Xenopus tropicalis: one gene and its partners. The main gene of each other region encodes a partner of the protein of the gene in region 3 in a complex. Links are inferred from orthologs where the notes say so. Each region holds a gene or a part of one and is shown on either strand. Other genes may lie near its edges.

The links.
Region 1: the proteins of cdca2 (region 3) and ppp1cc are in contact, whole or in part, in a crystal structure (PDB 5INB), measured with the Homo sapiens proteins. The link is inferred for Xenopus tropicalis from reciprocal best matches to the Homo sapiens genes CDCA2 and PPP1CC. Residues at the interface, in NP_689775.2 of Homo sapiens: Lys391, Arg392, Val393, Thr394, Phe395, Gly396, Asp398, Leu399, Ser400, Pro401, Glu402, Val403, Phe404, Asp405, Glu406, Ser407, Leu408, Pro409, Ala410, Asn411, Pro413, Leu414, Gly417, Gly418, Thr419, Pro420, Val421, Cys422; in NP_002701.1 of Homo sapiens: Arg20, Gly21, Ser22, Pro24, Lys60, Tyr70, Asp71, Leu73, Arg74, Glu77, Tyr78, Asp166, Lys168, Ile169, Asp242, Leu243, Tyr255, Phe257, Arg261, Pro270, Asn271, Ser284, Asp286, Glu287, Thr288, Leu289, Met290, Cys291, Ser292, Phe293.
Region 2: the proteins of cdca2 (region 3) and ppp1ca are in contact, whole or in part, in a crystal structure (PDB 5IOH), measured with the Homo sapiens proteins. The link is inferred for Xenopus tropicalis from reciprocal best matches to the Homo sapiens genes CDCA2 and PPP1CA. Residues at the interface, in NP_689775.2 of Homo sapiens: Lys391, Arg392, Val393, Thr394, Phe395, Gly396, Asp398, Leu399, Ser400, Pro401, Glu402, Val403, Phe404, Asp405, Glu406, Ser407, Leu408, Pro409, Ala410, Asn411, Leu414, Gly417, Gly418, Thr419, Pro420, Val421, Lys423; in NP_002699.1 of Homo sapiens: Gln20, Gly21, Ser22, Pro24, Tyr70, Asp71, Leu73, Arg74, Glu77, Tyr78, Asp166, Lys168, Ile169, Asp242, Leu243, Tyr255, Phe257, Arg261, Pro270, Ser284, Glu287, Thr288, Leu289, Met290, Cys291, Ser292, Phe293, Gln294, Ile295, Leu296.

What each region holds. Positions count from the first base shown.
Region 1 is NC_030677.2:162,953,047-162,957,185, reverse strand, and holds the start of ppp1cc (serine/threonine-protein phosphatase PP1-gamma catalytic subunit), read left to right. Parts: upstream 1-1,253; 5' UTR 1,254-1,431; coding exon 1,432-1,486; intron 1,487-4,139. UniProt on the Homo sapiens protein: Protein phosphatase that associates with over 200 regulatory proteins to form highly specific holoenzymes which dephosphorylate hundreds of biological targets.
Region 2 is NC_030685.2:494,920-497,582, reverse strand, and holds the end of ppp1ca (protein phosphatase 1, catalytic subunit, alpha isozyme), read right to left. Parts: intron 1,992-2,663; coding exon 1,857-1,991; intron 1,765-1,856; coding exon 1,666-1,764; 3' UTR 608-1,665; downstream 1-607. UniProt on the Homo sapiens protein: Protein phosphatase that associates with over 200 regulatory proteins to form highly specific holoenzymes which dephosphorylate hundreds of biological targets.
Region 3 is NC_030679.2:127,759,936-127,763,588, reverse strand, and holds part of cdca2 (cell division cycle-associated protein 2), read right to left. Parts: intron 2,111-3,653; coding exon 1,983-2,110; intron 1,416-1,982; coding exon 1,328-1,415; intron 62-1,327; coding exon 1-61. UniProt on the Homo sapiens protein: Regulator of chromosome structure during mitosis required for condensin-depleted chromosomes to retain their compact architecture through anaphase.

The DNA of each region.
Region 1 (4,139 bases), on a different chromosome or scaffold from region 3:
TTGTATTCATTCTAATAAAAATCTTAAAGAAACAATCCCCTTTTGTGACAATACTATGAAATAAAAAAAAGTAAAGGGGTCAGTTAGAAAGGCCCTTGGCACAGATGCAAGAGCACTAAAGGGCACAAGGGCTTATCTACCGAGCACTTGTGTCCAAAGTTGTGCTGTTTTTTGCAGGGAGCACCAGATCAAACATTTAGAATGGTGTTAGGCTGTTGGCAGCCTAGTCCTAACTTTCTACAACATATTTATTTCAATACTGGTGTAGAGATTTCAATTAACACTAAGTTGGTAGGGTAATAATTATTCACCCTGGACTAGTTGAGACACTGGTCTCCTGATCTTCAGGTGTCTGGGTTTCCACTGGCCAAGAAATTGCCAAACCTCCTGGCTGGCCCTGGCCCTGGCCAATGTACAGAAGCATTGATACCTGCACGTTTCTTCTTGCGTTACTAAGCCAGAAAGCATGAAGTCAGGGAGTACAATTATTTGGGGCAAAGGCTTCTGCAACTACTGAGAAAAAACAGCAATTAATGTATTAAATGTGACAGCTTAGGCAGCAGCACTGCCATCAGATGGGACAGAGGGAAATTTGGTCAGGGGCCTGATAGCAAGGGCTTCTCACAAGAGCTGATCTGAGACTTTTGGGCTAGTGGGTGAAGTCTGGGCTGATTGTGGACAACTTGGCAAAAATGGGAGTGAATTCGGGTTTTTTTGGAGCTCCATTGTACTTTTTTGCAGGATCCACTGCTCAGGTGTCAAGGAGTAGCCCCATAATTACTGATGGCAACCCTGTTAGGAGGCTACCAAAAGGTATTTCTGTGTATTAGTTGAAAACAATAAATTTAGCTGACGTGAAGTAGCCATATCTATTTTTATTTTACGTGTATCGTTTTTTCAAAATTACTAAGTATTTCACTTTGTTTTGGAAATTACACCTCATTCAAATATCATTTACAAAACCTAGAAACCCACAGAATGATCAAAGACAATGTCACTGGATCTTTTTTAAAACAAAAACAACCCTCACACGTGTAATGCATTCCTAAAACCGATAACGGTTACCATTTTTTATATACGCAGTACTAACTTTTGGCACTAGAGAAAAAATAGTCCTAGCTCGCAAATACGGCCAAATTTCAGAAACGGCTGGCGCAATGAAACACAGCGTGGGTTGAGATTTGACTGTACGTGCTATCGCCTGGGTCTTTAAAATGTACCAGGTCGTGCATAGATATTCATGCGCGGGCCGGCAGGGGAGGAGGTGGCGCCATTTTGTCAGGTTCTTGGGAGTCTGTAGCGGAAGACGAGCGAGGGGGATTGAAAAGCCGCTGCGGCGCCAAGACTGCCCCCTGCCCGGTTTCCAGTACGTTTGGGCTTCTGTTTTTATTGCGACAGTTTACTGGGTCCGCCATTTAGACTTTCGGAGCAATGGCAGATGTTGACAAGCTTAACATCGACAGCATCATACAGCGACTGTTAGAAGGTGAGGATGGTACTCGGGAAGGCCTGGCCGGGTTTCCTTACACTCTGTCACTTTACTTTCATGTGGTGGCAGGGTTGAAAGGGTTGCCATTAGCTATGTATGTGAGTGAGCAATGATGTATACACGGTGTTATTATTGGGGCAGCGGGGTTTGTAGCATCCTGGCTGGGCTCCTTGTGCTGAGATTGATATGGCAGTTGGAGCGGCTGTCAGCCTGCAGTTGCGTTACGGAGCCGTTACCGGAACAGGACTTTATTCTATACTCCGGTACATACAGGGTGCCGCTCTGATTGCTCATAGTATATATCTAGTTAATCAGGCTGTTGTACGAGTTATTGGCCGGACTGGCCCAATATACATTGTATAGAGGCGATCCGCTGGCTCCTAGCCGCTGCATGTGTATTCCATGTGCAGAATCCGGATTCACCCAGTATATCCGATCCTTAACACTGCGCAGCGCTCCATACACCTGGGAATCGCAGCGATCCGTATAGGGACCAAGGTGCTTCAGACTTTAGATTGAACTATGATTATTGCTCACTCCATAGGGGGCATGTTGTGCATTAGCTGATTATTTCCATTTGCCTTAGTTGACCTTCATAACTGTGTATATTGCCAATAGGTGGGGGTTATCCTGACCCTGTGCCACAGCTGTGCTGCTCTCACTCGCAGCTTTACTGATGCACTATATGGGGGAGTTGGAAGAATAGATTGTGTCATTTTGTGTAGTTTGCCTTTAGTTATGGGCAATGGGTGAGCAGCAATGACTGGATCTATTTTCATTTGTTGTTCTCATTAGTAAATTAATGCTGATGTGGTGTGACTTTAATGAGGAAATGTAAGCTACTAGCTCTGTGTAGAGGTGCCATTACATTTTCTTTTTTTTTTCTCTAACACTTTTTGCTCCTCGGTTCTCTATTTGGCAACTTAGGCTGCAATTCCCTTGTGGGGTTACAGGTCCTTGCAACCAGTTACTTGTTTAAAGGGCAACTGTGATAGGAAAATTGTTTACGGCTAATAGACCCTGCAACTCGGGTGGAAGAAAGCAATACTATTAGTGGGCATCTATTTATGGTATATAGTCTATATACATATATTTATGTATATGTAATGAGTTAACTGACTTACTCATTGTGAACATTCCTGTTGTGATGCACGCATTCGCATGAATGTGCCAGCTTATGTTTAGGCTCCAAATATGGCTGCCCACTTTACACTACCTCCTGGTGTGGACAGCATAGCCCTATTACATACAAAGCCAAAGTGTTTTTTGGGGCAAAATGTATAGTTTGCCCCAACCAGAATGCAGGCTTAATTAGCCCATATTTTCTGCGGTGAATGCAATTTTCTTGTTTTCTTTCTACTTCAAATTGAAGTACAAATAGTGAGTAAAAAAGGACATAATAAAAGCCTTGCAATGATTCTGAATTCCTAGTTCACTGACTTGCATTCACATGGCATTTTAGACCTTCAACTGTGAATATAAAGTAAATAAAAGTCAAGATTTTAATTGTATAAATCTGCAGCATACTAAATGTTAATGACTAAAATTCTGTAGGCTGATATGCTAATGTATTTGTAAGGGCAAAATATAAGTGGTTGTGTCCAGACAAGACAATGAAACCTTGTTGCTCCTATATTTTACATATATTAAAGGGGCATTATACCCAGTTTTCACCAGTAAAAAAAACATTGGCTGAGCTGGAAAAGAAAAAGGGGGTCAGCAAAAATATTTGCTTGCCCCAACACTCCAGCTGAAACCGAAGTTCTCTTGCTGTAGGCGATCAGATTCTTCAAACAACTGTCGTACCACCTTCTGTAACTATTAGTCTAATATTTAGGCGCAGGCCGAGCAAGGCTGGATTCCACCCAGCAAAAAACACATGGGGAACAATAATACCTCCTTTCTCAACATTTGTTTAATAAATAGGGGCTGAATATACTTATGTCTTTTGTTTTAATTGTGAAAAATCTCATTTTTATTTTGTGAGCTAAACAGGAAAACTGAAGCTATTCCATGTTTGGTCCTTGCGAGGTAGATTTTTAAAAATTGAAATGGGCAAAAAGTGTTCCGTAGAAGACCTATTTATTGATCTATTGTTAAACAAGGGGGGATACTGCACCTTTTAATGGAGACATATTGGATTTTTGAAAGTCACTCTCGTGTTGGTAACAATGAATAATATATGGTGCCTGATTCAGTGCCCTTAAGTGTTTACTCTGAAAATGTCACATTTAGAGAAGCTACCCATAGATCCTCTTGTCTATTACAAATGAGATGTGGGCTTGTCCTGACTTCTCCAATTTAAATATTGTGGAACGACCTAACTTAAACTGTTCATGTGAGGAAACCCACAAACATCCAAAAGCTGAAGCTGTTCTGTATAGAGGAATGGGCTAAAATTCGATGTGCAGGACTGATCAACGTTTGCTACAAACATAAAACATGTTTACATTTACTAATTCACGAACGCTCCGAGCGTATTTTTGGTGACTTTTTCGTACTTTGCGACAAAATTTGTGCGACAAAATCGTATTGTCGCGCTGAGTAAGAACGTTTTGGATACATTCAAGCTTTGGTATCGTGACTTTCCTTGGGCCAGGTTGGAGCTGCACAGTGCCATTGATTCCTATGGGAGAATTTCCTTGGGCCG
Region 2 (2,663 bases), on a different chromosome or scaffold from region 3:
GGGACATTAGGGCCCCTGGCAGCCAATGTGGGTTTTGTTTTTTTAACCATTAAATTTCCAGGGGCCCCGCTGTGTTGTATGGGGCCCCGTGAGTTCAGACGGCAGCGCCGGTCTCTAACTCGTATCTCACTGAACCCCATGAGCTGAGCTGTTGTGCTGCCCCCTAGTGGCACCTGCAGGAAGGGCAGGACACACCCACTGGGGCAACTAGGGCTGGGCATAGAAGTGGGGGCAAAAACCCTTAATTTAACCCTTGGCATCCTGCCACCATCCCATGCCCCGTCTGTCTATAAAGATCTCCCATATGATTTGCCCCCATGAATAAACTGCCGCAGTGACCGTGTCCCTTTACTTGCCCAACGCGCGTATCCTGCACTCAATAGGCCAGCCGGGAATTCTGGGTAGTTAGGCTATAAATCCCACAATAACGTAACATAGAAGGGAGAGACCTGAGAAACTGCCTGCACTCCCCCTCCTGGAAGCTAAGGGTATCTGCCTCTGCCCCACAGGTGCCCAGCCCTAAGGAGATGTGCAGACCCAGTAGGTTCTTTTGCCCCCCGGCCCAGGCGACATTTGCCCCCCGGGGAATAAATACAGAGACATTTGGTTTCCATTCAAACGAGATAAAAAGGTTTAATAAAAAGCCGTAGCTCTTACAGAAGAAAAGACACACGAGAATCCCCCCCCGATACCATTCAGAGCCCCTCCCCACATCCCCCCCTACTGGCAACTCCAAGCAGGTACATGCCCCAGACAGACACCTCACTTGCCCCCACACAATCACCCCCCAGCGAGGGGCAGGAGACTGGCACAATGGGCTCAGTGCCGGGCACAGCGATTGGCTCACCCCCGGGCACAGCGATTGGCTGAGCCGCTCACGGGCCGTAACACTGACCAAAAACCATCACAAAACAGGAAAAATCGAGGAATTGAGAGAAGAGCAGCGTTGTGGGGGGGGCGCAAACCCCCGGCCTATGAACAGTACAGTACATGAGGGGGTGTGTCCTGTAAAGCCTGCCCCCATTGTGACTCCACCCCCACCAGGAATGGTCAGGAGTAACTCAGCACTAGGAGGAAAGGGAGTCCCAGGCTGCACTCACAAGCCCCTCCCCTATTTACCCACAATGCACCTCCGCAATACCATGTCTGTTTAATGCCAACAGGGACAAAGCCTAATTACTGACCTCACTAACGACTACAGGAACCAGACAGGACTCACTCCAGCAAATCACTGAGAGAGAAGTCTTAGTTACCCTTGAAATGCCATTAACCCCCGCTGAGCGGGGAGAAAGCACCCAGTCCGGCCATGTTTCCACGTAGAGTGGGGCAGAGGGGCAACACGTCGGGAACAGCCCCACAAGGTGCACTTGCACCTACCCCTGAGATCAGTACTGCAATAAGGCACCACTGGGAGATGCGCTGGGAGTTGTGGGGGGGGGATGGGAGTTGTGGGGGGCAGGGGGGGGGTCACTGTGGCTACAAGAGATTAAGGCAGAGAAGTGGTTCTATTTGCAGGTTCCCTCCCATCTTCTCCAACCCCCGTGCGAGGTAAAAGTAACATCCCCAGGCCCCGCCCTCTGCGCCGGGGGGGGGGCAGACTGGGGAAGGAGGTCAGTGTGTGAGGGGTCAGGGGTTTGGGGAAGAGTCGGAAGGGGTATTTAGGGGTCATTTAGACTGTTTGTTCTTGTTGCGCGGGGGGGTCACGGGGCGGCTCTGGTTGACGCCCCCGTAAGCAAAAAGTTTCTTATCCGCAGGTTTCAAGATCTGCAAGAGAAAATACAGGGTTTTACCCCCCCAACACACTGGCAGGCCGACCCCCCCACCCCGGGCAGGATGGAACAACCCCCCGCACCCACCTGAAAGGAGCACATGAGGGACTCGTCCACACTCATCATGGAACCCGCGTTGTCAAACTCCCCGCAGTAATTGGGCGCCGAGAAGAGCGTCACCAGCTGCCGCTTAGCGAAGAACTCATAGCCGTCCTCTACCACCTGGGGGGGCAAGAGCGGGGGTGAGCCACTGGCGGGGGGGGGGGGGGGGGGGGGAGTCATAAAGGGAAAATTGAGCAGATGTACCTGGGGGTGGGATGAAGCAAGGAATGGGCGGAGCAAGACTTAGTGGGCAGACGTACCTGGGGGTGGGAGAGGAGTAAGGAATGGGCGGAGCAGACATACCTGGGGTGGGAGAGGAGTAAGGAATCGGCGGAGCAGGCGTACGGGGGGGGGGTGGAGGAGGCAGAAGGAATGGGCGGAGCAGACGTACCTGGGGAAGTGGGGAGTGGAAGGAATGAATGGGCAAAGCAGACATACCGGGGGGGGGGGGGGAAGGAGGGAATGGGTGGAGCAAACGTACCTGGGGAAGGAAGGAATGGGTGGAGCAGACGTACCTGGGGAAGGAAGGAATGGGTGGAGCAGACATACCTGGGGTTGGGATGAAGGAATGGGCGGAGCAAGACTTAGTGGGTAAACGTACCTGGGGAAGGAAGGAATGGGCGGAGCAGACGTACCATGGGGTGGGAATGGGCGGAGCAGACATACCTGGGGTGGGAGAGGAGTAAGGAATGGGCGGAGCAGACGTACCGTGGGGTGGGAATGGGCGGAGCAGACATACCTGGGGTGGGAGAGGAGTAAGGAATGGGCGGAGCAGACGTACCGTGGGGTGGG
Region 3 (3,653 bases):
GATTTCGGAGAACGTGTTTGAAAAACGTCATCACTGCGTGAGAGCAAGGCAGGTTGGACGACTAGAATACAACGGGAGAAGACAAAGACATCATCAGAAAATACTGATGGAAAATAATGAAGATAAGTAGATAATCCAAGGTGGCATTCACCTAAGACAAAAAATATTTATGCCATGGTTCTCAAAAATAGAAATGAAATAATCTAGAAAAGTTTGACAAAGTTTCTCCAGTGGACCTTCTTAGGACTAATATATATATATAATAAAATACATAGTATACAGAGTGAACAGTGTACACACTATTGTAAAAAAACAAGTAACTGAGGCTATAATGCTATAAAGGTATGGGTCCGAAGGTCATGGAATTTAGAAGTGACCTCAAATTTCCTCATGTCCAACCAACAAATGTATTTGTAGATGTGATATTGGTGTGTAGGCGCTATCTCAGTGCATTGTGCCTGAGTCTGAGCTTTCAGAAGGAGCCAGCGCTACACATTAGAACTGCTTTCAGGAAACCTATTGTTTCTCCTACTCCCATGTAACTGGAGGAGTCCCAAGTCAGACTTGGATTTCCGATACCTACTGGGAGCTGCTATCTTGCTCCCTTCCCATTGTTCTGCTGATCGGCTGCTGGGAGGGGGGTGATATAATGCCAACTTGCAGCTCAGCAGTAAAGTGCGACTATCAGTGCACAGGTCAGAGCACCCTGGGAAATGAAGAATACCCCATGTGAAATTTCAAAATTAAATCTAAAAAAAATCTGTTTTTGAAAAATAGATTTCAGTGCAGGATTCTGCTGGAGAAGCTCTATTAACTGAGGCCTTTTGAAATGTCCCTTGAGTGCACCATCTTTTTTGTTCATTATATATATTCACATATTTATATGAATATCAGAAAAAATACACTCAAAAGCACTAAACAGGTATATGAATATCAACAGATATATGAATATCAGAAAAAAATACACTCAAAAGCACTCAACAGCACTTAACAATGTGAAAAAAATATTTTATTCAAAGCCCAACATTGTCACCTATTGAGTGCTATACATAGTGTGTGTGTTATATATGTAAATTCTGAGGTAGAAAGGTGCACACCAGGATCCTTTAAAAAAATACCTTTATTCATCCATAAAACACTGCAGATTAGGTATATATATATATATTTATTTATGAGATGTCAAAGAACCTACAATATAGAGTGTTACACAAATGGAAGGCCAATGAGGGTGTGAGCTAGGGGTACAGTACACAGCTTTGCAATGTACAATTTGTCTTCCATTTAAAAATGAATGGGTTTCATTAATGTATAATAAAAGCGTACTCACCAGCAGAGTTAGAGTGGTTAGGAGGCACGGCTGAGGGTAACTTATGGTCAGGTTTGGGAGTCTTCTTGCCCACAGAGGAGCTGAGGCACTGACAGATAAAAGAATGTATGTCATTGCGCCATAGAATTAAAAAAACTTACATAATTAATAAATAAAGATATTTATAAAGATACCAATGCCAGAGAATATCTTAATGGTGAAGACACGGAGCTACTAGTAGCAGCTACTTATCACATCTACAAAAAAGACCATGCTGATCACTTACTGATAATTGTCTCTATGTGTGTTTTAGCAGAGGCAGTTCTCAGTATTGTCTATGGCAGGGTATTTTAGTAGCTGCTACTAGTAGCTGTGTGTCTTCGCCCTTACAATAACAGGTGAGGGCTAACCAGGACTGGAATTTATTTTAGCTCATCCAGCGTAATATAACATTTCTCTTTACTTCTACTGCTAAGCTTTTACTGAAAAATGTGAAAAATAAGACTAAAGCTGGCCATGCATGCCCACATTCGGTTAGCCATTTTGGTTGGGCTGGGGGGGGCATTCAGACTAAAGAATCCTTCTGTGCCTCTGTGACTTTCTCTCTATATGGTGTTAAAGAATGGAACTTGGGATGAATGCAGTTAAAATATCTTCTTAAATGCCTTGTCCTTACCTTGGTAGCTTTTTCTGCTGGGGATGGAAGGGCTAGTGGTGAGGGCTTCTTGGTTGCATTCTCATGTATAGGATTGAAAATACTGTATATTCTTTTCTTCTTCTGCGGAGGTTCAGCTGTTTCTTCCCCTGGACAATTAAAATATTGCATGTTGTGAATGAAGGCCACCTTTAAATCTCAACAGAAACCGACAAGTGGCTTTCACTAGTGCTTTGTACACAAAACATTAATAGTACCATAGTGTTGCATATCAAGTCTATGTCGTACATAGGCAGCCTCACCATGGAGATCAGAAATGACCTAAGTCAGCAGGAGTAGAAGTGGGTCTGACCTTCACTTGGGAGTTACATATCAGTGCAAAAGGGATATCACAGCATGTGTCTATCAGATGCCAAGAGGCCTGGCAGCGCCTTTACCTGTCACTAGTACTGACGAGGTGGAAGACAAGAAGAAAAAGGGCTGCAAACTCTCTTGGTTAAGACAAAATGTGAGAGTGGAACAATGTGAGGTACATTTCTCTTCCAGTGCTTTACCCATAGCTGGGTACCACCCAAGAGGAACACATAACACATAAATGGTTTAGAGCAGAATCCTTCAGAGATTTTCTAGTTGTGCCCCCTCCCTCTGCAGTCATACACTTCATTAGGTCCCTCTTAGCTCATAACCGGTTACAGGTATATGAAAATGTGTAATAGCCACACTCCAACAGTTCCACTGATTTCCAAGACTGTAAATAAAAAATAAGTAAACAAGATCACCCTAATAAGCCTCCCCCTATGGGGTACTGGTGCTGCAGTTTGGGGACCACTGGCTTAGAGGAACTCAATTCCATCAGAAAGCAACAATACATTTTGCTTACTAAACTGGGGGTATGTTGTTATATTACCCAATCTGTGTTGCAAAACTAAAGGGAAATGTAAAGGCTGAGCAATATGCAACTTGGTAAGTATCAGCACAAAAACACTGGATTCCCACCAGGTCAGACTATTGAGAGAATTATCAAACCAGAGAGCTGTGTCAGTTTATCAGAATATGATCTAAGCAGCCAAACACTAGTCTGTTTAGTTTGTGGTGGTACTAGCCAGTGCTGCTCAGTAGTAACGACGATCACCAACCTAATCAATACTCTCTCCGATGCAAACTGTATGCGTGAAGAACTGAATTTGACAATTTTTGTTCTGGCATGGAAAATAAATAGCCGAATTCCTTCAGAGCTGATAATACTTTACAGAGACCCCAGGTTGAAAGCCCAAGAAAAGACGCACATAACCCTGGCCAAATCAAACAAATGCAAGAACACTGATATATAATATAAATAGGATACAGAAAATACAAATACATGGACAACAGGGAAATTCAGTAGAACAAGACGTGTGGGGCTAGGTCATAGCGTGAAATCTGTTTTTCAAAAATGCAAACAGATTTTTTTATATTTAATTTTGAAATGTCACATGGGGCTAGCCATATTCTTCATTTCCCAGGGTGCCACAGCCATGTGACCTGTGCTCTGATAAACTTCACACTTTACTGCTGCGCTGCAACTTGGAGTGATATCCCCCCTCCCAGCAGCCGATCAGCAGAACAATGGGAAGGGAGCAAGATAGCAGCTCCCACTAGGTATTAGAATAGCACTCAATAGTAAGAAATCCAGGTCCGGCTTGAGACTCATCC